7 linked regions of the Callithrix jacchus genome follow. The protein of the gene in region 1 purifies or fractionates together with the protein of each later gene. This does not show direct contact. Links are inferred from orthologs where the notes say so. Each region holds a gene or a part of one and is shown in the gene's direction. Other genes may lie near its edges.

Evidence for each region.
Region 2: the proteins of NCBP1 (region 1) and DDX39B purify together in Homo sapiens (affinity purification with mass spectrometry; 6 studies listed by BioGRID and IntAct, with this or other methods). This does not show direct contact. The link is inferred for Callithrix jacchus from reciprocal best matches to the Homo sapiens genes NCBP1 and DDX39B.
Region 3: the proteins of NCBP1 (region 1) and PABPN1 purify together in Homo sapiens (co-immunoprecipitation; 3 studies listed by BioGRID and IntAct, with this or other methods). This does not show direct contact. The link is inferred for Callithrix jacchus from reciprocal best matches to the Homo sapiens genes NCBP1 and PABPN1.
Region 4: the proteins of NCBP1 (region 1) and HNRNPA1 purify together in Homo sapiens (affinity purification with western blotting; 4 studies listed by BioGRID and IntAct, with this or other methods). This does not show direct contact. The link is inferred for Callithrix jacchus from reciprocal best matches to the Homo sapiens genes NCBP1 and HNRNPA1.
Region 5: the proteins of NCBP1 (region 1) and XPO1 purify together in Homo sapiens (affinity purification with western blotting; 3 studies listed by BioGRID and IntAct, with this or other methods). This does not show direct contact. The link is inferred for Callithrix jacchus from reciprocal best matches to the Homo sapiens genes NCBP1 and XPO1.
Region 6: the proteins of NCBP1 (region 1) and EIF4G1 purify together in Homo sapiens (affinity purification with western blotting; 3 studies listed by BioGRID and IntAct, with this or other methods). This does not show direct contact. The link is inferred for Callithrix jacchus from reciprocal best matches to the Homo sapiens genes NCBP1 and EIF4G1.
Region 7: the proteins of NCBP1 (region 1) and KPNA3 purify together in Homo sapiens (co-immunoprecipitation; 3 studies listed by BioGRID and IntAct, with this or other methods). This does not show direct contact. The link is inferred for Callithrix jacchus from reciprocal best matches to the Homo sapiens genes NCBP1 and KPNA3.

The regions. Positions count from the first base shown.
Region 1 is NC_133502.1:145,793,220-145,796,719, forward strand, and holds part of NCBP1 (nuclear cap-binding protein subunit 1), read left to right. Parts: intron 1-73; coding exon 74-177; intron 178-2,548; coding exon 2,549-2,663; intron 2,664-3,500. UniProt on the Homo sapiens protein: Component of the cap-binding complex (CBC), which binds cotranscriptionally to the 5'-cap of pre-mRNAs and is involved in various processes such as pre-mRNA splicing, translation regulation, nonsense-mediated mRNA decay, RNA-mediated gene silencing (RNAi) by microRNAs (miRNAs) and mRNA export.
Region 2 is NC_133505.1:39,022,683-39,026,182, reverse strand, and holds part of DDX39B (spliceosome RNA helicase DDX39B), read left to right. Parts: intron 1-170; coding exon 171-298; intron 299-588; coding exon 589-681; intron 682-2,980; coding exon 2,981-3,164; intron 3,165-3,214; exon of another isoform or gene 3,215-3,290; intron 3,291-3,500. UniProt on the Homo sapiens protein: Involved in nuclear export of spliced and unspliced mRNA. Component of the TREX complex which is thought to couple mRNA transcription, processing and nuclear export, and specifically associates with spliced mRNA and not with unspliced pre-mRNA.
Region 3 is NC_133509.1:57,663,513-57,667,590, forward strand, and holds the start of PABPN1 (polyadenylate-binding protein 2), read left to right. Parts: upstream 1-1,278; 5' UTR 1,279-1,291; coding exon 1,292-1,642; intron 1,643-2,006; coding exon 2,007-2,121; intron 2,122-2,836; coding exon 2,837-2,904; intron 2,905-3,221; coding exon 3,222-3,328; intron 3,329-3,825; coding exon 3,826-3,913; intron 3,914-3,998; coding exon 3,999-4,078. Other genes in the region: BCL2L2 (bcl-2-like protein 2), read left to right, coding at 719-799.
Region 4 is NC_133510.1:65,268,001-65,272,101, reverse strand, and holds the start of HNRNPA1 (heterogeneous nuclear ribonucleoprotein A1), read left to right. Parts: upstream 1-1,301; 5' UTR 1,302-1,362; coding exon 1,363-1,377; intron 1,378-1,935; coding exon 1,936-2,052; intron 2,053-2,342; coding exon 2,343-2,489; intron 2,490-2,626; coding exon 2,627-2,837; intron 2,838-2,937; coding exon 2,938-3,030; intron 3,031-3,116; coding exon 3,117-3,209; intron 3,210-3,346; coding exon 3,347-3,421; intron 3,422-3,625; coding exon 3,626-3,781; intron 3,782-4,101. UniProt on the Homo sapiens protein: Involved in the packaging of pre-mRNA into hnRNP particles, transport of poly(A) mRNA from the nucleus to the cytoplasm and modulation of splice site selection.
Region 5 is NC_133515.1:52,585,026-52,589,116, forward strand, and holds the start of XPO1 (exportin-1), read left to right. Parts: upstream 1-1,291; 5' UTR 1,292-1,359; intron 1,360-1,554; exon of another isoform or gene 1,555-2,237; intron 2,238-4,091. UniProt on the Homo sapiens protein: Mediates the nuclear export of cellular proteins (cargos) bearing a leucine-rich nuclear export signal (NES) and of RNAs.
Region 6 is NC_133516.1:13,299,283-13,302,782, forward strand, and holds part of EIF4G1 (eukaryotic translation initiation factor 4 gamma 1), read left to right. Parts: coding exon 1-42; intron 43-328; coding exon 329-1,147; intron 1,148-1,408; coding exon 1,409-1,497; intron 1,498-1,587; coding exon 1,588-1,774; intron 1,775-1,853; coding exon 1,854-1,987; intron 1,988-2,080; coding exon 2,081-2,239; intron 2,240-2,403; coding exon 2,404-2,592; intron 2,593-2,771; coding exon 2,772-2,969; intron 2,970-3,181; coding exon 3,182-3,328; intron 3,329-3,500.
Region 7 is NC_133502.1:66,189,156-66,193,241, forward strand, and holds the start of KPNA3 (importin subunit alpha-4), read left to right. Parts: upstream 1-1,286; 5' UTR 1,287-1,354; coding exon 1,355-1,423; intron 1,424-4,086. UniProt on the Homo sapiens protein: Functions in nuclear protein import as an adapter protein for nuclear receptor KPNB1. Binds specifically and directly to substrates containing either a simple or bipartite NLS motif.

The DNA.
Region 1 (3,500 bases):
TTCTATTTACTTTTATAGCAGCAGTCTTGCCATGTATGTGTGTGTTACTTGTATAATTCTTCTCTCTTTGTAGATGATTGCTGTGCTAGTGGATAAGATGATTCGTACACAAATAGTTGATTGTGCTGCAGTAGCAAATTGGATCTTCTCTTCAGAACTATCTCGTGACTTTACCAGGTAATATGAATTACTTTATGAAACTTGTGTTCTCTAAGAATTAATATACGTGTGGTCTCTCATACATTAGCTTCAAATTCTGGTTCAAACTAGTTTGATATTAATATACTAATGGTCCAGTCTTGTAGGACTGGACATGGCAAAAATTCCTAGGCAGTAGAAACATACACAGCCTGTTGGGTTGCAGCATCTCTTAGAGGACACAATCGTAAGTTGAATCAAGACTAAGCCAGTGAAGGAGAAATGCTGTTGAAGGATCCAGACTGTTGGGAGAGAAAACTAGCAAGAGCCAACTATGTGCAAAGTCTCAGTCCAGATGGGACTTGGGAAGGGTTCCAGCTTCAGTGGCGATGGCATCTAGAATGCACACCAGGAACTAGGAGAAACCAAAGTGAAAGTAGGTTAAATACAAATCATGGAGGGATCCAGGAAAGCTTGGCGAGTACCAAGATGCCTGAAGGATGGGGAAAAGGGGTTCTCACCACAGTCATAATCTTAGGTTCAATGCAGAAGATTCATTCTGCACTCATTCCCCCTAAGGAAAGAAAGTTTTTGCTATTTGATTCTTATTTGTGAAGTTCCACGGACTTTCCAGTTGATAGGACCAGGACAGCAGGAGTTCACACAAAGCAGGAAAGAAAAGCAAATTAGTTCTGAAAACAAAAATCAATCACAGCCTTTAACTTTTCCACTGTATCTATTACTGCCAGAGGACACTGGTCTGAAATATACTGAATTGCTAGGGTGATTGGGTGTGATCTAAGGTTGTCATACCAGCCATGTTGGCTTTCACAAATGACAACAGAAGGACCTTTTCATATTTGTAAATTCTCACTAAACTAACCACCTAGTATGTTTTAACCATTGTCCTGAGTGATTTACAGTTTCAGTTTATTTTAACCTTACCACATCACCATAGAGGAGGTTCCATTATTGTCCACATTTTACAGAATAGGGAAGTGTCACAGAGTGCTTTAGCCTGCCTGAAGTCACACAGCTAAGTGCAGAGCCAGCATTCAAACCCAGGCATTCTGGAATCTGTATAATGCTCAACAGCTCCATCTGTTCTTTAACACCTAGCTCAAATATTTGTAACCCTACAAACCTTTCCCTGACTACTCTCCACGCCCTCAGAGTTAACACGCTGTGTTCTTTTGTCCTATTTCCTAACATTCTAGACTTGGAGTTTTATGAACAGATTGCTTTATTATTTTCCACTTAAACTATTATTTGGGTCAAAATTTGTAGAAGTAAGTACAGTTGACTCTTGAACAATATCAGGAGTTAGAGACACCAACTTGACCCCCAGCCACCCCACTCCCACACAGTCAAAAATCTGCATGGAACTTTTGACTACACAGAAAATTTAACTAATAGCATACTATTGACCAGAAGCCTTACTGATAACATAGTTGATTAACACATATTTTGTGTTGTGTGTTATATACTATATTCTTACAGTAAAATAAGCTAGAGAAAAGAAAATTACTAAGCAAATCATAAGAGGAAACATTTATTATTCATGAAGTGAGAGTGGATCATCAGAAAGATCTTATTCTTCATTATCTTCACATTGAATAGGCTGAGGGAGAGGAGGAGCTGGTCTTGTTGTTTTAGGTAGAAGAAAACCCATGTGAAAATGGACCTGCACAGTTCAAACCTGTGTTGTTCAAGGGCCAACTGTACTATTCTGTGCTGAGTTAGGAGACCTATTGATAGATACAAAAGTAGCTAAGAAGCTACTTAAAAAATAAAAATAAAAGGAAAACAGAAGAAACGCTTATACAACAAACATTTGAAAGCACCTACAAAGTGATCTTAGTATGTATTTGCTAGTTAGAAAGCTGACATTTGATGATCTCATTCTTAGAGCCCATCAGTTGATATCTGTTATCAACTAATGAGTTTTAAATGTTCCAAGAGAATAATTGGCTGAGTGTATGCTAGTTAAATAGTATAAAGCATGTGAAATGAGTCTCACCTTAGGTCACCATTTTGAGAAAATTTCTATACTTATTGTTTACATTTAGAAGAGGAAAAATTATTTCCATTTTTAATGTTAGTGTTCATTATAGTTTGCCATTTCAATTCAGTGAGTATATACCTCTTGTAAGGGATGGACATAAGAAAAATGACTACACAATACTGCCCTCGGGGGACTCACCTGAATCTAACGTGTGTGACGATAGATACTTGCACAATTTGCAATAAAAGACAATTCATAAGTATTGCTGGAGAAATAGGACTAATTCAGCCCAAAGGACAGAAGGCTGTATCAGCTGTTAAGAATGAATAGATTATAAAAGTTGAAAGGTTTTATTTTCGTAATGATAGCTTGACATACAATCATCAAATGTCATATTTCTTTAAGATTATTTGTTTGGGAAATCTTGCACTCTACAATTCGTAAGATGAACAAACATGTCTTGAAGATCCAGAAAGAGCTAGAAGAAGCTAAAGAGAAACTTGCAAGGCAACACAAACGGGTAAGTTTGTGTCAACTCGTAAATAGTTAAAGAAAATATACCAGAAACTCTGGAGAGGATTCAGAGTTCATTATCTTGATGGTATTTCATTTTTTCTGAGCCCAAATTATGCAGAGCTGTTTGCAGAAGCAGAGGAGGAGGAGGGAGCAGGTAGTGTCTTGTGTGCTTTTACCCTGCATAATGACCAGTTCAGGAAGCCACAAACTACTTTCCTTCATTCGCCATCTCTGGGTCAGCCTTGTGTTTGTACAAGGGAAGTAGCAGAAGGGAAGAGAATGCTTGTATTTTTGTAGAAGTCTCTGGGGGAAGAGGGAGAAGACTATAGATACTTATACTTTCCCCATACTATGAGGAGGAATGGGATGGTCAATCCCAAGTTAACAGAATGCTTCTCATAGTATTAAGTTTAGTATTTTAGCCATCTTGGAGGGAAGCGGTGAGCTGGCTGCGTTCTGTGACTTAAGATGTTACTACTGTTCTTTATGACAGTATTTTCTATTGTTATGCATATTTATCAAAGTAGAAGGTGAAAAAATAAAAGCTGGGTTTGATGCCTCACAGAAACCTTTAGCAAGTTTGAGTACTAGTCTCCACATAGACACACATGTATACATATATGGATATAAACACTCACAGACCTAAAATACTGTAAGTTAAATGATGTCATCCCATTTTGTAGATGTATAAAGTGAGACACAGGGAAGTTGAGTAACATAGCTAGTAGGTTGCATAGCTAATGACTGAGCTAGGTTCTGACCCAGGTCTGTCAGACTCCAGAGACTTTCTCTCATGCCACACTGTTTCAGAAATGTGCTGTCCAACCCAGTAGCCACTAGC
Region 2 (3,500 bases), on another chromosome or scaffold:
ATGTGGTTGAAGGAGCAGAGAGAGGTAGAAAGTCTGGAAGTTGTCAAGAACCAAGTACATACTAGACTTTGAGAATTGAGTGGTAAGGAATGGGGTTGGCATGATGAAAAAGGTGGTAGAGTTATCTGGAGACTGGAGTCTAATTTATCTTTCCTCCCCCCTTCTTTTAGTCCAGCATGAGTGCATCCCTCAGGCCATTCTGGGAATGGATGTCCTGTGCCAGGCCAAGTCGGGCATGGGAAAGACAGCAGTGTTTGTCTTGGCCACACTGCAACAGCTGGAGCCAGTTACTGGGCAGGTACATTTGGGGAGAGTGCTGGGGAAGGGATTTTGGTTAGGATTATAAGGGAAAGGGGTTTTTGTCCTAGCTACATGATGCTTGCAGAGCCATGAGCACATAACCGCTGTTAGCCTTGACAACCTGACAGCTGTGGGGAATGTTCTGTTGCAAGCATAGAGTTCATGATTTAGGTCACAGAATTAAAGTCATTTATCACTGGCCAGGTATATTTTTGTGACAATCACTTCCCTAGAGGAGATAATGAAGGGCTGTACTTACTGTATGTCTCCATCTACTTCCTGCCTAAGGTGTCTGTGCTGGTGATGTGTCACACTCGGGAGTTGGCTTTTCAGATCAGCAAGGAATATGAGCGCTTTTCTAAATATATGCCCAATGTCAAGGTAAGTCAAGGTAAAGAGACCTGAGAGTGAGGATGTGGCAAGTTGGAGGGATGAGAAACTTAATTTTGGAGAAACTATAGTTTGCCTTGGTTTAACAGAGTGTTAAGATCCTGTATAACAGGAGGATTCATTTCATAAGTGGGCTATGGATGATGCTCAAGACCACCCTTTTCTTACTACTTCATACTGAATTGAATCCTATCAGTTTGATCATTTTGAGGTGTGTGGCAGAGAAAGCTAGAAACTTTAAAAACAGCTCCAGTGGTGAGAATTTTGAGGATTCTGGCCAAGCATGGTGGCTCACTCCTGTAATCTCAGTACTTTGGGAGGCCAAGGTGGGTGGACCACTTGAGGTCAGGAGTCCGAGACCAGTCTGGCCAACACGGTGAAATCCTGTGTATGAAAAATGCAAAAATTAGCCTGGCGTGGTGACATGCACCTGTAGTCCCTCCTACTTGGGAGGCTGAGGTGGGAGAATCCCTGGGAACTGGGAGGCAAAGGTTGCAGTGAGCTGAGATTGTGCCACTGCACTCCAGCCTGGGTGACTTGAGACTTGGTCTCAAAAAAAAAAAAATTTTTTTTGTTTTTAAATTTAAGTTAAGCATTTTTGGCAAGAATGCTGCATAGGTGATGCTGTATCTCCTGTTATGCCACAAATCTGGTTGATCTATCTTTTTTTATTTTATTTTTATTTTATTTCGAGGTGGAGTTCTCTGTTTCTCAGGCTGTGAGTGCAGTGGTGCAATCTCAGCTCACTGCAACCTGTGCCTCCCAGGTTAAAGTGATTCTCCTGCCTCAACCTCCCGAGTAGTTGGGACTACATAGTGCCATCACGCCCAGCTAATTTTTGTATTTTTAGTAGCGACAGGGTTTCACCATGTTGGCCAGGTGGATCTCAAACTCCTGACCTCAAGTGAGCCACCTACCTTGGTCTCCCAAAGTGCTGGGATTACAGGCGTGAGCCATCACGCCTGGCCTCGTTAGAGATTTTAGATTTACGGTGGGATTAGTGTCATGACAGTTTGATTCCATGGTTCTTCTTTTCCCCCTTGAAACTAGAAAGTAGTTTCTGGTGTTACTTGATAGCGTACCAAGGCCCAGATCCCTAAATAACTATTCACCTAATGGATTTAACATGGAGTGATAATATTTAACCTCAAGCAATAATTTCATGGGGTTTGTGTGGAGATTCTGGGTTTATTTAGGATAACTTGATGTTTCGTGTGTTTTTTGTGGTACTTTACACTCATCTGGTGATTTCTTGCTGTTGTTTATTTATTACTATATTACTATTTGAGACAAGAGTCTTGCTCTGTTACCCAGGCTGGAGTGCAGTAGCATGATCTGAGCTTACTGTAACCTCTGCCTCTCGGGTTCAAGTGTTTCTTGCTGCCTCAACCTCCCGAGTAGCGCCCGCCACTGCGCCTGGCTAATTTTTGTATTTTTAGTAGACATGGGGTTTCACCATCTTGGTCAGGCTTATCTTGAACTCCTGACCTCGTGATCCACCCACCTCGACCTCCCAGAGTGTTGGGATTGCAGGCATTAGCCACTGCACCCGGCCTATATTTATTTTTTATTTATTCCTTGAGGTGGAGTCTCCCTCTGTTGCCCAGGCTGGAGTGCAGTGGCTTGATCTCCACTCACTGCAACTTCTGCCTCCCAGGTTCAAGCAATTCTCCTGCCTCAATCTCCTGGGTTATTTTTGTATTTTTAGTAGAGATGGGGTTTCACTGTATTGGCCAGGCTGGTCTTGAACTCCTGGCTTGAAGTGATCCACCTGCCTTGGCCTCCCAAAATGCTAGGATTACAGGTGTGAGCCACCGAGCCCAGCCTTATTTTTATTTTTATTTTTTGAGATGGTGTATCCCTCTTGTCACCCATGCTGGAGTACAGATCGTGGCTCACTGCAACCTCTGCCTCCAGGTTCAAGTGATTCTCGTGCCTCAGCCTCCCAAGTAGCTGGGATTACAAGAATGTGCCACCATACCTGGCTCCTTGATTTTTTAAATGAAGCCTGGCCTCATAAATGAAGGAAGATGGTTAGATTAAGTCAGAAGAACTGAATTCTTGTCCTGACTGTTCTGAGTAGTTCTGTAACTTGAGGCAATCACTTTTGTTATAAACCTCAGTGTTTGGTGGGGCGACATAAAATTTTTAAATTAGGTGACCTCTAAAAGTTTATTGTAGTTTTGAAACATGCTAAAAATTGGTTTAGCTCAAACTGAGAGTGGGAACCCTGGGGGGATTGGACTCTTTCCTTCCTTGTTTTTGAGACTCTTTGCTCTTGGCTTGGCAGGTTGCTGTGTTTTTTGGTGGTCTGTCTATCAAGAAGGATGAAGAGGTGCTGAAGAAGAACTGCCCGCATATCGTCGTGGGGACTCCAGGCCGTATCCTAGCCCTGGCTCGAAATAAGAGCCTCAACCTCAAACACATTAAACACTTTATTTTGGATGAATGCGATAAAATGCTTGAACAGCTCGGTGAGTGGCAGTGCTGGGGCTTGGCTAATGCTGGGGAGTTGTTCTTTGGAGCCAAATGATGTTTATTTGAAACAGGAGCACCTCAGTGTAAGGACGACTCTTATCTATCACCCATGACTGATGGCTCTGGGTTCCCTGGTTGGTTTTTATTCTTTTAAGCACAGTAAGGGGGTCATCTATCATCTTTCTATGATTTCTTTTTAACCTTTGAGAATAGGGGACTTTGATAATTTAGGCATAAGTCGTCACCACCACTACCCTTTCCATTAAATATTTCTGTACTGGGAGTCATAGGGGATATTCTAAACTGAAGGAGAAGACTGTCTACCCTTATGG
Region 3 (4,078 bases), on another chromosome or scaffold:
CCAGGAGAAATTCCTCTGGAATCTTGAGGGCTGAAATGAAGGGTGGCACCCAGATCTCCAATCAGTGCATCTTCAGTCAACAAACATTCAACAGGACATTATGTGGTAGGCATATTGCCAGGCCGTGGAGATGCAAATATAAATAAGATCCAGCCCTTCATCTGTAGGCGCTCACAACCTAGTTAGGAAACAGCACAAAACCATTAAGTGCACAGTGGAGGTAGGCCCACTTGTCCTGGGAAAGGAGTGGAAGCTGGGGTTTGAAGAGGGACTACGTGTTAGAGGCACAGACTGGGTGCCTGTACACCCAATGGAACGAGAAGGGTGTAAATTAATCACATGCTGGGGTGTCAAAGGCAGTGATTTACAGTTTTGAGACTTTACCTCACCAGCAAAAGGGGCCAGTCTGTTAGTGGTGCAGACTGGAGGGGAGACACTGGAAGCTGCCCATTCAAGAGAAGAAAATGGAACTAGGGAGCAGAAGGCCTACGCAAGAGGGCGGGAAAGACAGAACTCGTGTCAAGTAGCTCTGGACTGAGCAATCCTTCCTGCTTTCTGGTGTGGGAGAGCTAGTGGATGATGGTGCCAATAACCTGGATGGGGAAAGTAAGCTCCCTCCTGGAATGCTCCATTCACAACCTCCATTTTCAGCAATATCCCATCTACTGATTCTTCCTGGTCAGGATACAAGTTTCCTGAAGCGGCCGCTCTGTTTCAGGCCTCGTCCGCCCAACAGCTCACTAGCCAGCCAGCAGTAGTACCAAGATGGCGGCCCCCTGAGGACTGGCTAGTCATGTGACCTCGGGTTTCCCAAGTTTGAAGCCCAGCAGTCCGTTCGGGGGCAAGGTTCGCCTGTCACAAAATGAATGTCAGCCCTTCGAATCTCGCGAGCCAATCGGCATGTAAGACTGGGCCACGGCGGTGAAGCGATCGGAAGATTGGTCCTTTCCAGTCGCCTAGCTAGGGCCAATCACGGAGCGTCCTATACTTCGCGGGCCCGCCCATAGGCCGGGGAGAAGTAGGAATGTCGTCACAGCGTGGCGGTATTGTTACCTAAGGACTCGATAGGAGGTGGGACGCGTGTTGATTGACAGGCAGATTTCCCCTACTGGGATTTGAGAATTTGGCGCAGTACCCCCGCCTTAGAGGTGGGGTCTTATTTGATTGCCAAGTAATATTCCCCAATGGAGTACTAGCTCATGGTGACTGGCAGGCAGCTTGACTAATGAGTCCTCGGCGTGGCCGGCGCAGCTCTCCAATCGCCGGGCGGCGGGCCCCAGTCTGAGCGGCGATGGCGGCGGCGGCGGCGGCGGCAGCAGCAGCGGGGGCTGCGGGCGGTCGGGGCTCCGGGCCGGGGCGGCGGCGCCATCTTGTGCCCGGGGCCGGTGGGGAGGCCGGGGAGGGGGCCCCGGGGGGCGCAGGGGACTACGGGAACGGCCTGGAGTCTGAGGAACTGGAGCCTGAGGAGCTGCTGCTGGAGCCCGAGCCGGAGCCCGAGCCTGAAGAGGAGCCGCCCCGGCCCCGCGCCCCCCCGGGAGCTCCGGGCCCTGGGCCTGGTTCGGGAGCCCCCGGCAGTCAAGAGGAGGAGGAGGAGCCGGGACTGGTCGAGGGTGACCCGGGGGACGGCGCCATTGAGGACCCGGTGAGGGAAGGAGGGCGAGCGATCAGGCCGGCGGCTGACTGGCCGGGTCACGGGAGGCCCAGAGCTCGGGCGAGCGGGAGGCAGGCGGGGGGTGGGGTTGGGCGGGGAATAACGTGGCTGGGGCCCAGTCGGGCCGGGATGGGTCCGCGATCACTACAAGGGGCCCGACTGGCTTGATTCGGGCGTCACGGGAGCCAAGTGTTGTTCTAGAGAGGGTAGCTTGCTTTTCTTTTCATCATGACCCTCGCGTGGGGCGAGGGAAATGGCCGAGCATGGCTGAGGCCGCGCTCCGGCCGAGACCAGGGCAGAGCCCCTGCGTTGGTTCTTCTTAAGCTCTTCTCCATACCCTTTCCACTTGTATTAGGAGCTGGAAGCTATCAAAGCTCGAGTCAGGGAGATGGAGGAAGAAGCTGAGAAGCTAAAGGAACTACAGAACGAGGTAGAGAAGCAGATGAATATGAGTCCACCTCCAGGCAATGGTGAGTAACTGGCGGTTGCACGCAGAGCCCGGGTTCTCGGGTTGGAAGGGTTGTAGGGAGGATGGGGAATGTGGGGTTAGATACTTGGCATCCTGGAGCTGGTTGTCTGAGCTATTATGACTGTGCCGCGGTCATAGTCCGTTGTGTGTTCCTCTGACCTTTGTGAGGCAGAACCTATATTTTGGTGGTGGTAGCCTTGTGCCTGCCTCCCTTTGTCCTTGTTATAATTGTGCTGTTCTTTGTTCTTGGTCTACCTCTATCCTTCTTTTTAGAGGTTGCCAGCTCGCATTTGACCTTCAAATCTAATAGTTTTTCCTCCAATCGGAGACGTTTCAGTTAGGATTCTAAGAGAAAACAAGCTGGAGGGGTTTCCCCTTTAATCTAGAAATGTAGAGTCTCAGCCCACTTAATTTTGTTCACTCTTAAAAGCATTTCAATGTAAACCATTCATTGGGGACTTGATTGGAGGTAGGAGAGATTCCTATACTGTTTTAAGTGTGTATTAATTTATTCTTTAAGTTTGTCGAATATTTAGCGAGTACCTGCTTTGGATTAGGCACAATCCTATTCTAGGTTATGGGTACAGCAGTAAACAGAATAGACCAAAATCTTTGCTTTCACTGAACTTATGGGATATTGTTGGTGGTGGAAATGCATATATTGGTCAAGTAGAAAACAAATGTATATATTTTTTTTTTAATGTTTTTCCTCATAGCTGGCCCAGTGATCATGTCCATTGAGGAGAAGATGGAGGCTGATGCCCGTTCCATCTATGTTGGCAATGTATGTAACTAGGGCTCTCTCTGATTGGGGTTGGGGGGCAAGTTATTTTGGGAAGTTATTTAATAGTCCTGAAAGGAACATCTCTGGGATACGTGGTGGTTTTGGGTGTGAACGGAGTGTGGGAAGGAGGTTGAAGGTAATGGAGTGATCAGTAAACAGCAGAGGCTCTGGGTTTGGAACGAAAAGGGCCTAGTTCCCCAGATTACCAGATTTCGTGTGCCTTGGTGTATGTAGATGGTGCAGATCAAAGGCTAGGCAGGGTGCCTGTTGAGACAGGAATTTGTCTGGTGCCTGTGAAATGTCTCTCCTCTCCTCAGGTGGACTATGGTGCAACAGCAGAAGAGCTGGAAGCTCACTTTCATGGCTGTGGTTCAGTCAACCGTGTTACCATACTCTGTGACAAATTTAGTGGCCATCCCAAAGGGTAAGTAGAGGAAAGTAAGTTGAGGTAATTTAAATTATGGTGTAAAAATAGATATATGAATATGTTTTATATTGAGCAGTAAGTGATTTGCTGTTAACACAGGTAATCTTTGTTATTGAAGATAATGGCATTAATGTTGATATGTATCAGGAGTTGCACCTAAATGTCTTCTGAGGCCAGACAGATAACAGAAATGAAGGCTAGATGTGGGTGGGATCACGAACTCTATAGAAGGGGAGTAGGAGGGGCAGCTTCTACTTGGCCTCTTATGGCCATATGGAAATTCAGACCCTGTGTGTCCTATTCTTAAAAATTTCAAAGAATAGCTGGAAATTTTAAAATTTAAATGATTTTGAATGATTTAAATTTTCCATTTAAAAGAATTTTGACAAAAAAATGTAACCACATTGTACCCCAAAATAAAGCATGCCTGTAAGTTGAATTTGACCTGTGAGGTATTTGTAACCTCAGAGAGATGCAATGACAATTCTTTTCAGGTTTGCATATATAGAGTTCTCAGACAAAGAGTCAGTGAGGACTTCCTTGGCCTTAGATGAGTCCCTATTTAGAGGAAGGCAGATCAAGGTAAGCCTCTGTCCATTGCTGTTCTGGTTCTGTATAAACTCTCCAGATTGACTTTAAGGCTTTCATTTATTCATCTCTGACTCAGGTGATCCCAAAACGAACCAACAGACCAGGCATCAGCACAACAGACCGGGGTTTTCCACGAGCCCGCTACCGCGCACGGAC
Region 4 (4,101 bases), on another chromosome or scaffold:
GCTTCCTTAGAGAAGTCACTGTGGATAAAACATTCACCCTCACACGCCATTACATTCACCGACTCCCCTTCCTCACAACCCCAAATCGAAGACCTCCCTCTTCTGGAGTCGATTGGACGACTGGTCCGAGCACTTTCCTTAGGCTGTCCGTCTACTGGCTCCAGATTCGGTCCATCAGTTTAACCGCCCGACTCCCGCATTCCCCATTGGAGTCAAACCGCTGCCTCCTGGAGAAGCCCAACCTACCGCGCGCTTCGCGCTTACTGGCTCAGTGAGACGCAGCTCAGGAGGGGAAACCCGTCTCCCACATTCCGATGGCCCCAAGGGCCCATCAGTCGGCAGCTCAAGGCAGACCCAATTGGCGTATACGCAAGCCAGTCAAAGTCTTCAGCTGCACCGCTCCAAAGAACCTACAGGGATTAAAACATCCCGCCCCCTGTTCTTCTATTGGTTGGCCCGACCCACCGCTGCCCTTTCACTATCCCCCACCCCGCGGTCCATTCATTTCACACAATAACGGGCCCAAATAGAGTCAGTTCGAGACCTACGATGGGTAGAGAAGACTGTCTGCCACTTACCCGGGATTGAGAGTGATCACTCACGCTAACGTCTGCCCTGTTGCTGTATGGTGAGGCCGCAACGCAAGCCACCACCGCCACCACCTTCTGCGCAACGCCAACCGCCCGCCAAAACGGATCCTTCCCTGCGCCTGCGCAACCAATCCGGGAACGGACCCTTTCTCCGCCCACCACGCATGCGCAAAGCTGGAACCAACTCCCGCCAATACGCAGGCGCCGTAGGGTCACTGCCTAGTACTGCCCGCCATTTCACGTGTTCCCAGAGGCTGCTGGAAGTTCTTAATGCGCCTGCGCAAAACTCGCCATTTTACTACACGTGCGCTCAACAAGCAGTCAAAATTTTGACCTGCTGGCTAACTGCTTTTCTGACACATAGTGTTAATCATGCTTTGCCAAGCGTAATATTTGTGCGGGGAAGATTAAAAAGGCGTTAAACACCCAAGGTATATTCAAATATGAATGATTTATCGGCTGGCCAATCAGACTGGTTAAGAATAATATTACTCGGGAACCAATGAACTCCAAGGGGTGGAGAGGGCGTAGACCGCCCAAAGGAATGACGTTACACAGCAGTGTGGCACCACAGGCCAATAGTAGGGGGAAGAGATTTCACACATCCAATCAGAACTGTTCAAGGGCGGAGTGTACCAATGCTGAAAGGGAGGAGGCGGGGTAAAAAAGAAAGGCCGAAGGTAGGCTGGCAGATACGTTCGTCAGTTTGCTCCTTTCTGCCCGTGGACGCCGCCGAAGCAGCATCGTTAAAGTCTCTCTTCTCCCCGCGATCATGTCTAAGTCAGAGGTGAGTTAGGCGCTCTTTCCAACTTGAATTTCTTCCTCTTCCTTTCCTGAATTGGTAAGATGCGGCTTGGTTTCGTTCCTTTCACCAGCCCATTCTACAGTTTTTTAGGTTGCTGCCACGGCCTACCCCTCCCAAAGTTCAAGTCGCCATTTTGTCCTGTTGATCGCCATGAGGCCGCTCGCGCCAATCATGAGTTATTATGCAGCACTCTATAGTCTTAGCAAAAATTCTTACGCACATAAGGCTTTTCCTTTTCTAAACCTTGCTTTGGTGAGCGAGTTTTTAAAAGAGCGATTAGTCCCATTTTGGCGATGTACCCCTCCCGCCTAAGCCTTTGTTGCGCGTGCGTCGGAAGGCGACTAGGGACGCATGCGCTTTGGATTTCGCAGCACTCCCAACCCCCAACATACCTTCTCCCCTGTTAGAGAGAAGCACATGGCTTGTTGCAATCTGAACGAACAATAAGTGCTACATACACAGTTGTCTAGTTTTGATTTTCCTCGATGGAAATTGTTTGGTGTTACAGCTCATTTAACACTTCCGCCTCCCCCACTGTAGTCTCCTAAAGAGCCGGAACAGCTGAGGAAGCTCTTCATTGGAGGGTTGAGCTTTGAAACAACCGATGAGAGCCTCAGGAGCCATTTTGAGCAATGGGGAACGCTCACAGACTGTGTGGTAAGAATTGGAAGGGACCAAACAGTAAAATAGTGGATTTCCTTGGTTTATCTTGGGGCGGTTCTCTCTGAATACTTAGGAAGGTTGTTAGTAGTATTATAGCTAGAGCCTTGTTGACGAAGGAAAGTCCTGCTTTGTTTGATAGAGTTACCTCTTAAACCTAGGATAGTGGGAAACTGGAGGGGTTTTTGTACAGGGCTGGTATAAAGTTTCCTATTCCCTTGTTCAAAGTTAAAATTACAAAAGTTTTTGGGGTCAGACTTTGTTACATGAATTAACACTGTTCTCAGGTCATGAGAGATCCAAACACCAAGCGCTCCAGGGGCTTTGGGTTCGTCACGTATGCAACTGTGGAGGAGGTGGATGCAGCCATGAATGCAAGGCCACACAAAGTGGATGGAAGAGTTGTGGAACCAAAGAGAGCTGTCTCAAGAGAAGTGAGTGGTTTTTTTACCCTTCAATTCTTTTGGCGATGTGCTGCTAGTGTATTTGGATTCAGGAGTTTTGTACTTAAAAATTTTTTTATTTGGGTGTAGGTTTGGCTAATCTAAACCTGTGGTTTTCCTCCTATTAGGATTCTCAAAGACCAGGTGCCCACTTAACTGTGAAAAAAATATTCGTTGGTGGCATTAAAGAAGACACTGAAGAACATCACCTAAGAGATTATTTTGAACAGTATGGAAAAATTGAAGTGATTGAAATCATGACGGACAGAGGCAGTGGCAAGAAAAGGGGCTTTGCCTTTGTAACCTTTGACGACCATGACTCCGTGGATAAGATTGTCAGTAAGTATCAAATAGTGGTATTTAGTAAGGGTTCCGCAGTCCATGTGGCGTTCTAAACCCTGAGACCATGTTGTACCTGTCTTCATTTTTTTTTTTTTAGTTCAGAAATACCATACTGTGAATGGCCACAACTGTGAAGTTAGGAAAGCCCTGTCAAAGCAAGAGATGGCTAGTGCTTCATCCAGCCAAAGAGGTATGCTTATTGCTTCATTAAACCTTAAAAGCAACTTTCAGTTACTCCAGTATGAATGATTTAACGTTTAAACTTCATCTCTTTAGGTCGAAGTGGTTCTGGAAACTTTGGTGGTGGTCGTGGAGGAGGTTTCGGTGGGAATGACAACTTTGGTCGTGGAGGAAATTTCAGCGGTCGTGGTATGTACGGCTTATTTACCTGTAGTTCTGACTTCTTACCATCTTTGCTATGCAGGTTTTACAGTACAGGAAGTGCATCCAGAATGTCATTTGATATGCAGATCATGCTTAAAACTTAAAACTTTGTTTTCTTCCAGGTGGCTTTGGTGGCAGCCGTGGTGGTGGTGGTTATGGTGGCAGTGGGGATGGCTATAATGGATTTGGCAATGATGGTAAGTTTTTTAGGAATAAGTAGATAAAAATTCCTGGCAACCTGTGTCTTTAGAATAGGTTAGTCAAGACTAAAATTCTAGTGCATGACAAGCTCAACTTTTCCCATAACACGCATGCTGTGAGCAGGCCTTCAGCCATTACACTTGCACAAGTTTTCATTGTCAAATACTTTTGTCTTATTGAGAAGAATTGTATTCTTGTAGGTGGTTATGGAGGAGGCGGCCCTGGTTACTCTGGAGGAAGCAGAGGCTATGGAAGTGGTGGACAGGGTTATGGAAACCAGGGCAGTGGCTATGGCGGGAGTGGCAGCTATGACAGCTATAACAACGGAGGCGGAGGCGGCTTTGGCGGTGGTAGTGGTAGGTATCCAGTGATCCAAGTACTTGGTGTGACAGCTAGAATAGCCTTTTAGAGCTTGGGTTCTTGGTGCTGTTGAAGCATTGTCTGGTACACTGCATGGTATATTAAATGGGCTTGCTATGCTACCTCCTCCTAGCTTTAAGCTGGGGCCGCCTCACTCCCAATTAGTAGAGATAAGTGGATAATGGTGTCTTTGAGTTAGATTAGTGTCATAGAAGGATTTAGTATCTTAAATGCTTTGGGACCTTAGGCGCTTAGTTGATGGATCCAAGAAATTTCTGATTGCCTGTGGCCCTAGATCTCCCATGAAGGCCTTCAA
Region 5 (4,091 bases), on another chromosome or scaffold:
CAGAGAGTTGGACGTTGCAGTGAGCTCGAGATGGCGCCACTGTACTCTAGCCTGGGCGACGAGCAAGACTCCTTCTCAAAAAAAAAAAAAAAAACTTAGGTCTGAAAATCATCCCAAATCATTCTGGTACACCTAAGAATTGAGTTGTTGGGGTTTTCTTTATTGGAGGGGGAGTTAGAATAAGTAATGCTTTGGTTAGCCATAGTCCATCGTAAGTGAACATTTGCTAAGGAAAATTTTATTAATTTAATAAACCATTTATCCACGTCTTGGTGGCACAATGAGCCTAGTAAATTTTGGTAGGCTATTTGCTCTTAAGCGTACAACAATCTGTAAAGCTGATTTGGAGGACACTTGGGAACAAATCAGAGAGGCAACCACGTCAAAGGCCACATGCATGTGACTTTCACAGAAAATACTATTTGGTGATTTAGTACGTGAAGGGCATCTAGGGTAAAAGAAATATCTGAGTGTGGCAGATCAAGGGCACCAGGTGGGAAGCAGTTGGCATGAAAGCTCACCCAGCCAAAACATGCACTGTTAAACCACACTTGGAATTGCAGTGTTTTGGTTTTCAGGAAAGGTTGTTGAAGCGGCCAAATTCCAGCCCGGGGAGACAGAGTTGAAATTTTAAGACTTTCCCAAGAAGTATTTCGATATCTTTTCCAAGACCCTGAAAACATCACAAGGCGCCAAAAATGCACACTCTGCGCGTCACCCCAACCTTTCTCTCTCAGCTACCTGGCCCCGAACCCAGGCCTCTAAAATGGATGAGAGGTCTGGGGCCTACCTAGGAAGTGTTCTTTTCGCTACTTTCTCCACCCCGCTTTGAGTTCTAAACAACTGGGTGTCTCCTCCCTTTTCCGAACGCAGCCCCCATCTGAGGGGCGGATCCTGATTCCCGCTGGCTCAGGCCCCGCAGGTTGGCGGGACCCGGTAGGGATAGGCCAGCCGAGTCCGGGGGAAGCAAAGCGAACGCTACCGCGCGCAGCGATCAAACTCGCGCCGCCACACGCTCACGAGCTGCGCCCCACCCTCTCCGTCACCGAAGGCGCCCAGCCAATGAGCCGGCGGGAAAGGCCGGGCCTGCGAACTAGACACTGGGAGGGGGAGGGCTGGAGGGGGAAGGGAAGTCGAGGGCGGGCTGTGTTTGATTGACAGCTCGTTCTAACCAACCCTCCACGCGGATTTTCTTCACTCTCTTTTTCTACTCAGCCAGACTCTTCGTCCCACCTCCTCCTCCTCCACCCCTCTCCTCTTGCTTTTCGACCCGTCCCACTTCCCCTCCCCCATTCTGCGGGCAAATCGCTGCTGAAAAGAGGCGGGGGCCGGAGCGGCGGGCTCGTGTGGAGACTTGAGGTGGGATTGACTGGCTCTCGGACCAACGAGAGATAGGCTCATGGCGTGGCTGTGGCTGGAACTGACCAATAGCAGGGCGGGCTGGGGGCGGAGGCCCAGGTTCCAAACGCTCCGCGGCGCCATGGGCTGAAAACTCAACCGAGATGGAATCTCCCAGTCTGAACCGGTTTCAACCGGTTCCGAGTTTGAGGCACTAGAAGGAGGGGGAGAAGCGGCTGCAGCGGCCGCGGCAGGAGCAGCGGGAGCTACAGCATCAGCAAGAGCAACAGTAGCTACAGCCCCGGCGGCCGTGCCTGTTCCAGTCTTTGCTGCTGCAGTCCGTGCAACCACCCAGAGGGGGAGGGGGAGCCACCAGTCGCTGAGGAGCAAGAGAAGGGGGGAAAGTTTAGGCGAGCCTGTGGGGGGGCCCAGCGCCGGAGCCGCGTGAGAGAGGGAGCCGTGTTTTGGTAGGGGGGGAGTCGGACTGCAGCTGGCAGCAGAGCGTCCCCCCGGCCGTGTGGACTCTACACCCCCTACTCCTGCCACTTCTGTTGCTGCCTGTGGCTGGAGGGTCCCCCTTGGGCTGAATCTTCAGGACTTGACCCCGTTCCCTCCCCCTTCCCTCACTCCTAGCCAGGCGGGAGCGTTTATTCCTCCTAATTCCCCTTGTTTTTGGGGGGGGGGCGGGTGGGTGTGTGTGTTGTGGGGAAGCGTCCCTGAAATAGTAAATATTATTGAGCTTTTTTTTTTTGCCCTTTTCCTCTCCGTTTTTGAAATTTCCTTTTTTAAGGTGGGAAAACTGTGAAACCCACCTTGATTCGTCCCCTTTCCCCCCTCCCCACCTTCCCTCGCCCTAATCCCCCAACAAGGAAGGAAGGAGCAGTTGGTTAAATCTCTGGGTAAGTCGACTGTGTCTTCGGGGCCGAGGGTCGGGCGGCGTCGCGGACGGGCGGGAGGAGGCCGGCGTGGGGCGCGGCGGCTGTAGTCGCCGCGGGAAGCGAGCCCGGGAGGCGGCGGGCGGGCCGGGGGCGCGCCGGGCCCACGATGGAGCCTGCGATTGAATGGAGCCGCTTTTACCGCTGGGGGATGGAGGCGGGGAGGGGAGCGCTTGCTGGGTCATTCGTGTGTGCGGGTGGCGGCGGAGGAGGACGAGGAGCGTGATAGTTAAGCGGGGCGCCTCGCGAAATGGAAGGGCTTCCTCAGCCCCACGGCTTGGGGAGAAGTTGGGGTGATTTCAGGAACATCTCTGTAAATTATTAGGAGTGGAAGTTTCCAGAAATATTTAGTGCAGCAGCATTGAAACGTCCGCCTGCATCACGTGGCCCCCTCGGTGGAGAGCTTGGGATGGGGGAGGGAGGGGCTGCCGACTCCCTGTTCCTCCGGCAAGGAAACTCGAAAGCTCTCCGGGTTTTTGCGGAGTGGCATGTGAAGTAGGAAAGATAAATTTTTCAGGGACCTGCACGTGGGATTCCGTCTTACAGTTTCTTTTCAGGGGTTTGAGTGTGATAAGTTGGTTAAACCATATGCTGCTGGCCTTGTACAGTGTAGGATGCCCTGATTCTCCTTCATTCCGATGTCTGAGTTTAGGGTGGGTGGGAGGAAGTGGTGTAGTAGAGGAAGCATTCGGTACTGGCTCAGCCCGGACCTCCTCTGATCACGCCGAGGCCATGCTGCTCAGAGAAAGGGGCGGTGAACTTAAGGCGCCTGGTCTAAATGCCTCCTCCGAGTATGGGCGGGGTGAGTGCGTGCTCCCCTGTGCTATAGTTAGAAGTGCAGCCGATCGGTTCGGGTGGGAAGCCAGGGGAGGGCGGGCCCTAGTGAGGTGTGTTTCTCCTGAATGAAGCAGGCGATTGCCCACACACCTAAGGAGAAGTCTTTTGCTTTGTTGCGACTTTTTTTTTTTCCTAGTGTGAAGTTGGATTAAGCAACGGTTATAATTTTCTGGTTTTTGGATAAGAACTGGCATTGGGGGTCACTTGTAGAGTTACAGCATCCATAAACTGGTTAATCCCTAGTGTATGCTGTCCAGTGAGTGGATTTTAGGATTGAAAAGCCCAACGAGAAAAGAGCGTTCATGGTTACACCTCTCCCACTATGGTTGTTTGCTTGTATATCTTAAGTGTGGGATGCTGCTGTTAGTGGAAAGAATGTTTCGGAAGCGTTTTGATTTGGGGGACTAAATGTGCTTGGCATTGACCACAAAGCCGCCATTTCTGTACTACGTACAGTTCAAGAATAGGTAGGTTATTTCGAAGACAGCCGCTAGTTCTAAGGATGGCAAATTACTGTATTGAAACCCTTCTATTCCAAATCTCGTTTTTCACACCAAAATCTAATTCGTAGAACTCTGTAAGGACAGTGTATTTGAAAGTGAAACTTTGAAGAGAGTCATTTTCTTAATCTTTTTTTGTTTTGGCATTAAACTGTGGTAGGAGTAAATAGGTGAAAAGTTTGTTCATTTTTTTTTTTAACCGAAGTATTTGGAAATTTTTGATACATAGATCTTGGTGCTTTGTGGACATTGCTTTTAAGCCTCAAATATTAAGATTGTTCTGATCTTTTAAATTTTATGGTACTTGAAGGTGGAGGAGAGTTTACACATTTATTTGTGAAATGTGTATTTCCTCAGTATTTAGATCTCGGGTTTTTGTGTGGTAACAAGTATTCTGTTTAAAAACGTTTAATGCCAACTACAAAACATTTTGAAGTCTCATCAGTTTTGTCAATAATGGACCAGTTCTTGAACTCCTAAT
Region 6 (3,500 bases), on another chromosome or scaffold:
CTAATGGGGAGACGCCCCAGGTTGCTGTCATTGTCCGGCCAGGTAAGTAAGAGGGTGGGACGGAGCTTTTATGTGGAAAAGGAATGTTGACAGTTTAAATGCTGGGGTGGTTGAGTGTCTTGAACTGGGTACCAGAGAAGAATGACTTAGATTTCAGGTTGTGGAATTTTGAGGGTGAATTGGATTTTGGATGAAAATGGAAGTATAGCTTAGGTGGGAAAAGATGATGGGGGGGGTGTCAAGTTGGGAATGCCTTGGCTGGGAGGTTGGGAACAGCCGCAGTGAAGGACTTGCCTGTAGTCACTCATTCTTCTTTCCCGTGGTGCAGATGACCGGTCACAGGGAGCAATCATTGCTGACCGGCCAGGGCTGCCTGGCCCAGAGCACAGCCCTTCAGAATCCCAGCCTTCATCACCTTCTCCGACCCCATCGCCATCCCCAATCTTGGAACCGGGGTCTGAGCCTAATCTCGCAGTCCTCTCTCTTCCTGGGGACACTGTGACAACGGGGATGATACAAATGTCTGTAGAGGAATCAGCCCCCATCTCCCGTGAAACTGGGGAGCCATACTGCCTCTCTCCAGAACCCACTCCTCTCGCCGAACCCATACTGGAAGTAGAAGTGACACTTAGCAAACCAGTTCCAGAATCTGAGTTCTCTTCCAGTCCTCTCCAGGCTTCCAACCCTCTGGCATCTCACACAGTGGAAAGTCATGAGCCTAATGGCATGGTCCCATCTGAAGATCTGGAACCAGAGGTGGAGTTAAGCCCAGAGCTTGCTCCTCCCCCAGCCTGCCCCTCCGAATCCCCTGTGCCCATCGCTCCAACTGTCCAACCTGAGGAACTGCTCAACGGAGCCCCCTCGCCACCAGCTGTGGACTTAAGCCCAGTCAGTGAGCCAGAGGAGCAGGCCAAGGAAGTCACAGCATCAGTGACTCCACCCACTGTCCTCTCTGCCACTCCTGCTATGGCTCCTTCAGCTACTTCCCCAGCTCCGGAGGAGGAAATGGAGGAAGAAGAAGAGGAGGAGGAAGGAGAAGCAGGAGAAGTTGAGAGTGAGAAGGGAGGAGAGGAACTGCTTCCCCAAGAGAGTACCCCTGTCCCAGCCAACTTGTCCCAGAATTTGGAGGCAGCAGCAGCCACCCAAGGTAAGGTGTGGTTGGTCAGGAGAGGTAGGCTGGCTAGGGGACATGGTTCCTCGCCCTCCTTGATGACCTTCCATTTTTGCTGTGCGTTTGGGTTATAGGAGGCCTGCAGTGGAATCTAAGAATTGGATTCAGGACTTTCACACCTAAAGAGGGTGATGGAAGCGGGTGTTGTGCTTTGGTTGCTTTTTATTTCCCAGGGATTAAGGATGCTCCTTAAAACCTTGGCATAGACCTGTGCTTTTATTTATTTTTTTAAATTAGTGGCAGTATCTGTGCCAAAGAGGAGACGGAAAATTAAGGAGCTAAATAAGAAGGAGGCTGTGGGAGACCTTCTGGATGCCTTCAAGGAGGTAAGGGAGCAGAAGGTGGGAGGGGAGAACACTGAGTTGAGGTGTGGAACAGCGGTCATTCTGCAGCCTAAACTGGATGTTCTGTTCTAGGCAAACCCGGCAGTACCAGAGGTGGAAAATCAGCCTCCCGCAGGCAGCAATCCAGGCCCGGAGTCTGAGGGCAGCAGTGTGCCCCAACGTCCCGAGGAAGCAGATGAGACCTGGGACTCAAAGGAAGACAAAATTCATAATGCTGAGAACATCCAGCCTGGCGAACAGAAGTATGAATATAAATCAGGTATGCTGAAGAAAGGCTTGAGAATGGTGAGTTTTCTTACTGGGAGGCAGTATGATGCTTCATTCTGTCTTCTTTGCAGATCAGTGGAAGCCCCTAAACCTGGAGGAGAAAAAACGTTACGACCGTGAGTTCCTGCTTGGTTTTCAGTTCATCTTTGCCAGTATGCAGAAGCCAGAGGGTCTGCCCCATATCAGTGATGTGGTGCTGGACAAGGTTGGTGGCTTGAGTCGGGGAGGGGAGGGTAAGTTTGCGCTGGATGGACTGGGGAGGAGCCTGCTTCTGAGACCTTTTCCTGTCTTCTCGCAGGCCAATAAAACACCACTGCGGCCACTGGATCCTGCTAGACTGCAAGGCATAAACTGCGGTCCAGACTTCACTCCATCCTTTGCCAACCTTGGCCGGCCAGCCCTTAGCACCCGTGGGCCCCCAAGGGGTGGGCCAGGTGGGGAGCTGCCCCGAGGGCCGGTGAGTGGGGCTGGGTAAAGGGGCAGGTGGGCAAGGAGTGGGGGTGGATGACTCCCTTGTGTTCAGTGCTGGCGGGGAGAGGTTGGCCCTGGAGGTGTGTAGTAGTGGTGTCACATGTTGCACTGACTAGTTCCATGTCCCTCTTACCTTCATTCCTTGCTTAGCAGGCTGGCCTGGGACCCCGGCGCTCTCAGCAGGGCCCCCGAAAGGAACCACGCAAGATCATTGCCACAGTGTTAATGACTGAAGATATAAAACTAAACAAAGCAGAGAAAGCCTGGAAACCCAGCAGTAAGCGGACGGCAGCTGATAAGGATCGAGGGGAAGAGGATGCTGACGGCAGCAAAACCCAGGTACTGGCGAGGCCTGCTTTCCATCTCCCTCCGTTTTTCTTCAGGTCTGCCATCTGTGTCCTCTTTGCTTCTCTTTATCACCAGCATCTGTCATGCCTAAGTCCCTGCTATCCTCTGTGGTTCGACCCAACGGGCTATGCTGAGGCCATCACTGGGACTCGTGTCTCTTCTCCCTCCAGGACCTATTCCGCAGGGTGCGCTCCATCCTAAATAAGCTGACACCCCAGATGTTCCAGCAGCTGATGAAGCAAGTGACGCAGCTGGCCATCGACACCGAGGAACGCCTCAAAGGGGTCATTGACCTCATTTTTGAGAAGGCCATTTCTGAGCCCAACTTCTCTGTGGCCTATGCCAACATGTGCCGCTGCCTCATGGCGGTTAGTGTCCACTGGGTTCGAAGTCTCGTGGTCTAGTTGCTCATTTCTCTTCCCTTGAGTCCAGCTTCTTGGTTCCCTCCAACTTGGGCCCCTCCAGCTGGAAGGAGGCAGAGCTGGGGCCAGGGATCTTCCAGGGTCAGGTAGTTAAAGACTATTGGGGGGCCTTCCCTGCCCTGGACTGCTCTGAGTGTGACATTTTCTCTCACCTACAGCTGAAAGTGCCCACTACAGAAAAGCCAACAGTGACTGTGAACTTCCGAAAGCTGTTGTTGAATCGATGTCAGAAGGAGTTTGAGAAAGACAAAGATGATGATGAGGTTTTTGAGAAGAAGCAAAAAGAGATGGATGAAGCTGCTACGGTGAGAGAAAACCCGCTGCCGGTTCCACTCTGCTCGCCTTCCCCCAGCCAGAGCTGCTCAGCTGCGGAGTTTGGAATGGAGATAGTGGTGTCTTGGGAGTTGCTCTGTCAGGACCTTTTTTTCCTTTGTTTTTGTGACAGAGTCATGCTCTGTCACCCATGCTGGAGTACAG
Region 7 (4,086 bases), about 80 Mb from region 1:
TATTTTCTGTGGAGACGTGGTTTCAACATGTTGGCAAGGCTGGTCTCAAACTCTTGACCTCATGATCTGCCCGCCTCGAACTCCCAAAGTGCTGGGATTACAGGCGTGAGCCACCGCGCCCGGCCAAAGCAGCTCTTTATTAGTGTAATTTATCCAAATTTCCCTCCATCATTCCTTCCACGCCCCCGGTGGGGAGTGGGAGTGCTACACGGGAGAGTCTGCGGCCCAGGGCTTCACTGCTGCCTGAGGGCTAAGATTATGTGTGGTGGTAGAAAAAGAAGAATTGGGGGCATGGAAACGCAGGAACTGCCAGAGTGAAGGTTGCAGAACCTGGCTTGGGAGGATGATGAAGAAACTGGGCGACACTAAAGTGTCGTTGTTGAGCTGGCGTTCAACAAGTATTTATTGAGTATCTACAACGCGCTAGGCATTGTTTTGACACTAGAGATTCAGCAGCAATTCAACGAAAGTACCTGCTCTCATTGAGCTGAATGCCCCGTGCGGGCAGCCAGGTAACGCACATAAACACTTGCACTTATATCTCATAGATACTTACGTACATGTCAGGTAGAAATAAGTGCTATTTATAAAACTGAAGCAGAGCATGGGAACAGTGAATGAAGGTGGCTGCTATTTGAGGAGACCCCCACAAAACAGCGAGACAGTGAAGCACCAGCGGTTGTTCTTTTTCTGATTTTCTAGCTACAGGCAGCGAGATGCGCTCCCAGGAAACCCCGCCCTCTTCCTCCTGATAGGGCACAAAGTGCCAGGATACCTCCTACCTCTTCCCCGCCTAGAGGCGGACTTGGGTCGTTGGGGGGGACTTCGCGCCCAGCAATATGAGCGCGCCGCGCAAACAGCCGCGCGCAGCGATCCCGGCATGCTCCTCGTCCTCCCTAGGCAAGTAGAATTGCTCCGGGCGGATCGTGGCATGCTGGGAACTGTAGTTGACGACCGCCAACCCGCACCTGAGGGGCGGTAAAAGCCGCGAAGTCCCGTTCCATTTCTGGCACAGGACTTGCGGCACCGTGAGGTTGTGGAGAGCTCTTGCAGGGAAGGAGGGCAGGGTCATCCCGAAAACGCCCAAACCGGTCGCCGCCCCCAGTCACGTGTCGCCAGCCTCCGCGGGCGCGCGCCACTCTTAGAACCGTTCCCGCCCCACCCGGCCCGGCTATCGGTCCGCGCCTCCCCCGGCGCTACTGCCACCTCGCGCTCGGAGGCGTCACGGAACGTGCTCTCCTCTTCCCCCCCACCTCCTTTCCCTCCAGCTCTCCCCCTCTTCCCCCGCCCGCGCCGAGACTCGTCGCCGCCGCCGCAGCCTCAGGAGTAGCCGCCGCCGGAGCCGCGCGCAGCCATGGCCGAGAACCCTAGCTTGGAGAACCACCGCATCAAGAGCTTCAAGAACAAGGGCCGCGATGTGGAAGTGAGTGTGCTTCCGCGATCTGGGGCCGCCTGGCCGCTCCGCTGGGCGACGCGAGGAGGGGCGGAGGGCCGGCGCCGGGCTGGTTCTCGCCAGCTTGTGGTCGGCCGGAGTTGGCCGCCGCCTCCCGTCACCGTGGCCCCGGGCTGGGCGGAGCGGGCGGCGGGACGCGGGCGGGGCTGCAGCCACCCTCCAGAGCTGCCGGCCCGGCGACCGGGAAATGCCGGGGTTTTCGGCCCTGTCACGCGGGCGCGGCCTGATGTCGGCGAGGAGGGGATGAGGAGCTGAGGCGGGGTCCGCGGGCGGTGGCCGCGCGGACGAACGGGGATGCTGCCGCCCCGGGCCGACGACCGCACAGTCGAGGGGCGGTTGCTGCTGGCGCCCGCCAGTGCAACCTTCCGCCCGGTGCAGCCCCCTCGGTGCCTCCCGCGCATGGAGCCTCGGCTCTGCCGGTCCCGGCTCCTACCTTCTGGGAGCCGGGCCTTGGCGGGCGGTGGCGGCCCGCAGAGGGGGGTGGGGACCAGCCGGGTAACTGACTTGTTTGAGGGTGATGGATGGGGGAGGGTAGGATGCGCCAGGACTATTTTCTTATATTCCAGTGCTGTTCTTTGGTCTAGTCGTGCCGAGCTGTTCCAGCTCATACTCCTGCAACTGCTGGTATTTGGAGCGAGCTGAAGGTGGACAATAGTTTGCCATCTATTGTGTTCAGGCGTTGGAAAAGAGGTTGTTCCGACCTCCGCTCACAGGACTTATTTTCTTAGCCTTTCTTGGAGTAGGGTGTGCATAGGGTGATAATTTCTTTGACACATTTTACTGAAATAAATTGGATACATAGGTTCATAAGTCCTCTCACATACCTCTTGCTACAAGCTAGTAGAATTTCCAAGTGGTTGCAAAACTAAGCGTTCATCGCGGTCACTCAGTTCGTTGCTACTCAGCATGTTGCCATTGTCTCATTAAGGTGACATTAGCAGGTACTATTTGCAAACTCGGCTTATTGAGGCAGCGCTAGAGGTCTCTCTGCAGCTGCTGAAAGCAATGAGTACATGCACAAACTTCACTGGGCCTGTGACCTTTGGATTTGTTAGGGGGAAAATGGTTTAAGGCTACAGCCTTCTTTTCTAATACTGGGTGACATGATATGCAGTTTTGTAGTTTTTGCTAAGAGGCTAGTGTGATTAAGAGGTGAGTATTTTATCCTGTCCTAAGGAAGGTGGTGGGTTGTATATACCATTCAGCGTTCTATTTTGTAGAGAAACAAACTCAGGCTGTTTTTCAGAGCTACAAAATTAAATACTAGTAGAAAAAACCTGGGGAGATATCCGTGGAATTCCCATTTGAATGAGTCAAATAAAGATCATGTATTCTTTCCTGGTCATGGTTAAATACTCCTTGTGAGAGAGAAATCTAAGCAAAAGTGAAACTTAGGAATAGGAACAAGAAATTTTGGAACTGCCTCCTGTCCTGATGATAAGTGTTAATTTTGAACTTTTCCCATTCTTGAGGTCTACCTCGTTTCAAATAAAAGTTTATTGAAAAATACTCATATTGTTTGTACTTTAAAACCAATAACATTTTTTCTGCTCTTGGATATTGGTACAGGTTTTTGTTTCATTGTTTACCTCTATTACGCTGTTCTGGTAATTCAGTGATACTTAGTAAGGACTCCTGCACATACTAGGTACACAACAAATATTTGCTGATGATAACAAGTAACCAGTAACTTTTAGATGCATGAAAAAGAGCATGGTTGCTAAGCCATTCAGCCTGGTATTGGTCACAACACTACATTTCTTGGGATTCTATAGGGTAACTTAAGACATGAAATAGACATGCGAATGGTAGTTCTATTGTGGCAGATGCTGTGTTAAGAGTTTCAGGATACCTTGTTTAATCTGTGCAACAAGTGTATGAGTTAGGAGTGGCGTTATCCCTACTTTACATGAGGAAAGTATTTTTTGAGACAGAGTCTTCTTCAGTTACTTAGGTTGGAGTACTCAGGCACTCATTAGCTCAGCTGCAAGCTTAAACTTCTAGGCTCAAGGAATCTTCCCACTGTGGCCTCCCAAGTAGCTGGGACTACAGGTGGACAGCACCACACCTGGCTAATTTTTAATTTTTTGTAGAGATGGGGTCTTTGTTGCCCAAGCTTGTCTTGAACTCTTGGGCTCCAGTGATTCCCCCACTTCAGCCTCCCAAAGTGTTGGGACTGCAGATGCTGAGCTATCACACCCAGATGGAACTTTAGATGCAAAACCTCAGTGTGCTTATGTAGCCTGTGCAAGTCACTCAGTGGATATGGGCATTATTTATTCACTAATTGTCTATTCAGTATCTATCAATGTTAGGTCTTTGGGATAAGGGATAAGATGCAGTCTGTACCTCAAGGAGTTTTCATTCAGTGGGGGTGTTAATTACAATGCAGTACAATTGTTACAGTGTAGCATTTCGAAAATACATGAGAGAAAAGTACTTGTAGCTGAGCAAACAGGGAAGATACTCTGGTGGACTTCTAATAGATGGGAGTGAGCTGATTCTGAAGGATGAAAGAAAGGTGGCCAGGCAAAGGGCAGGAGAAGTGCGGTGGAAGAAAAGGGCATTCCAGACTAGAGGGAACAGTAATTGAAAAGTCCTGAGAGAAATGGAGAGAGAGACTAAAGGGTAAA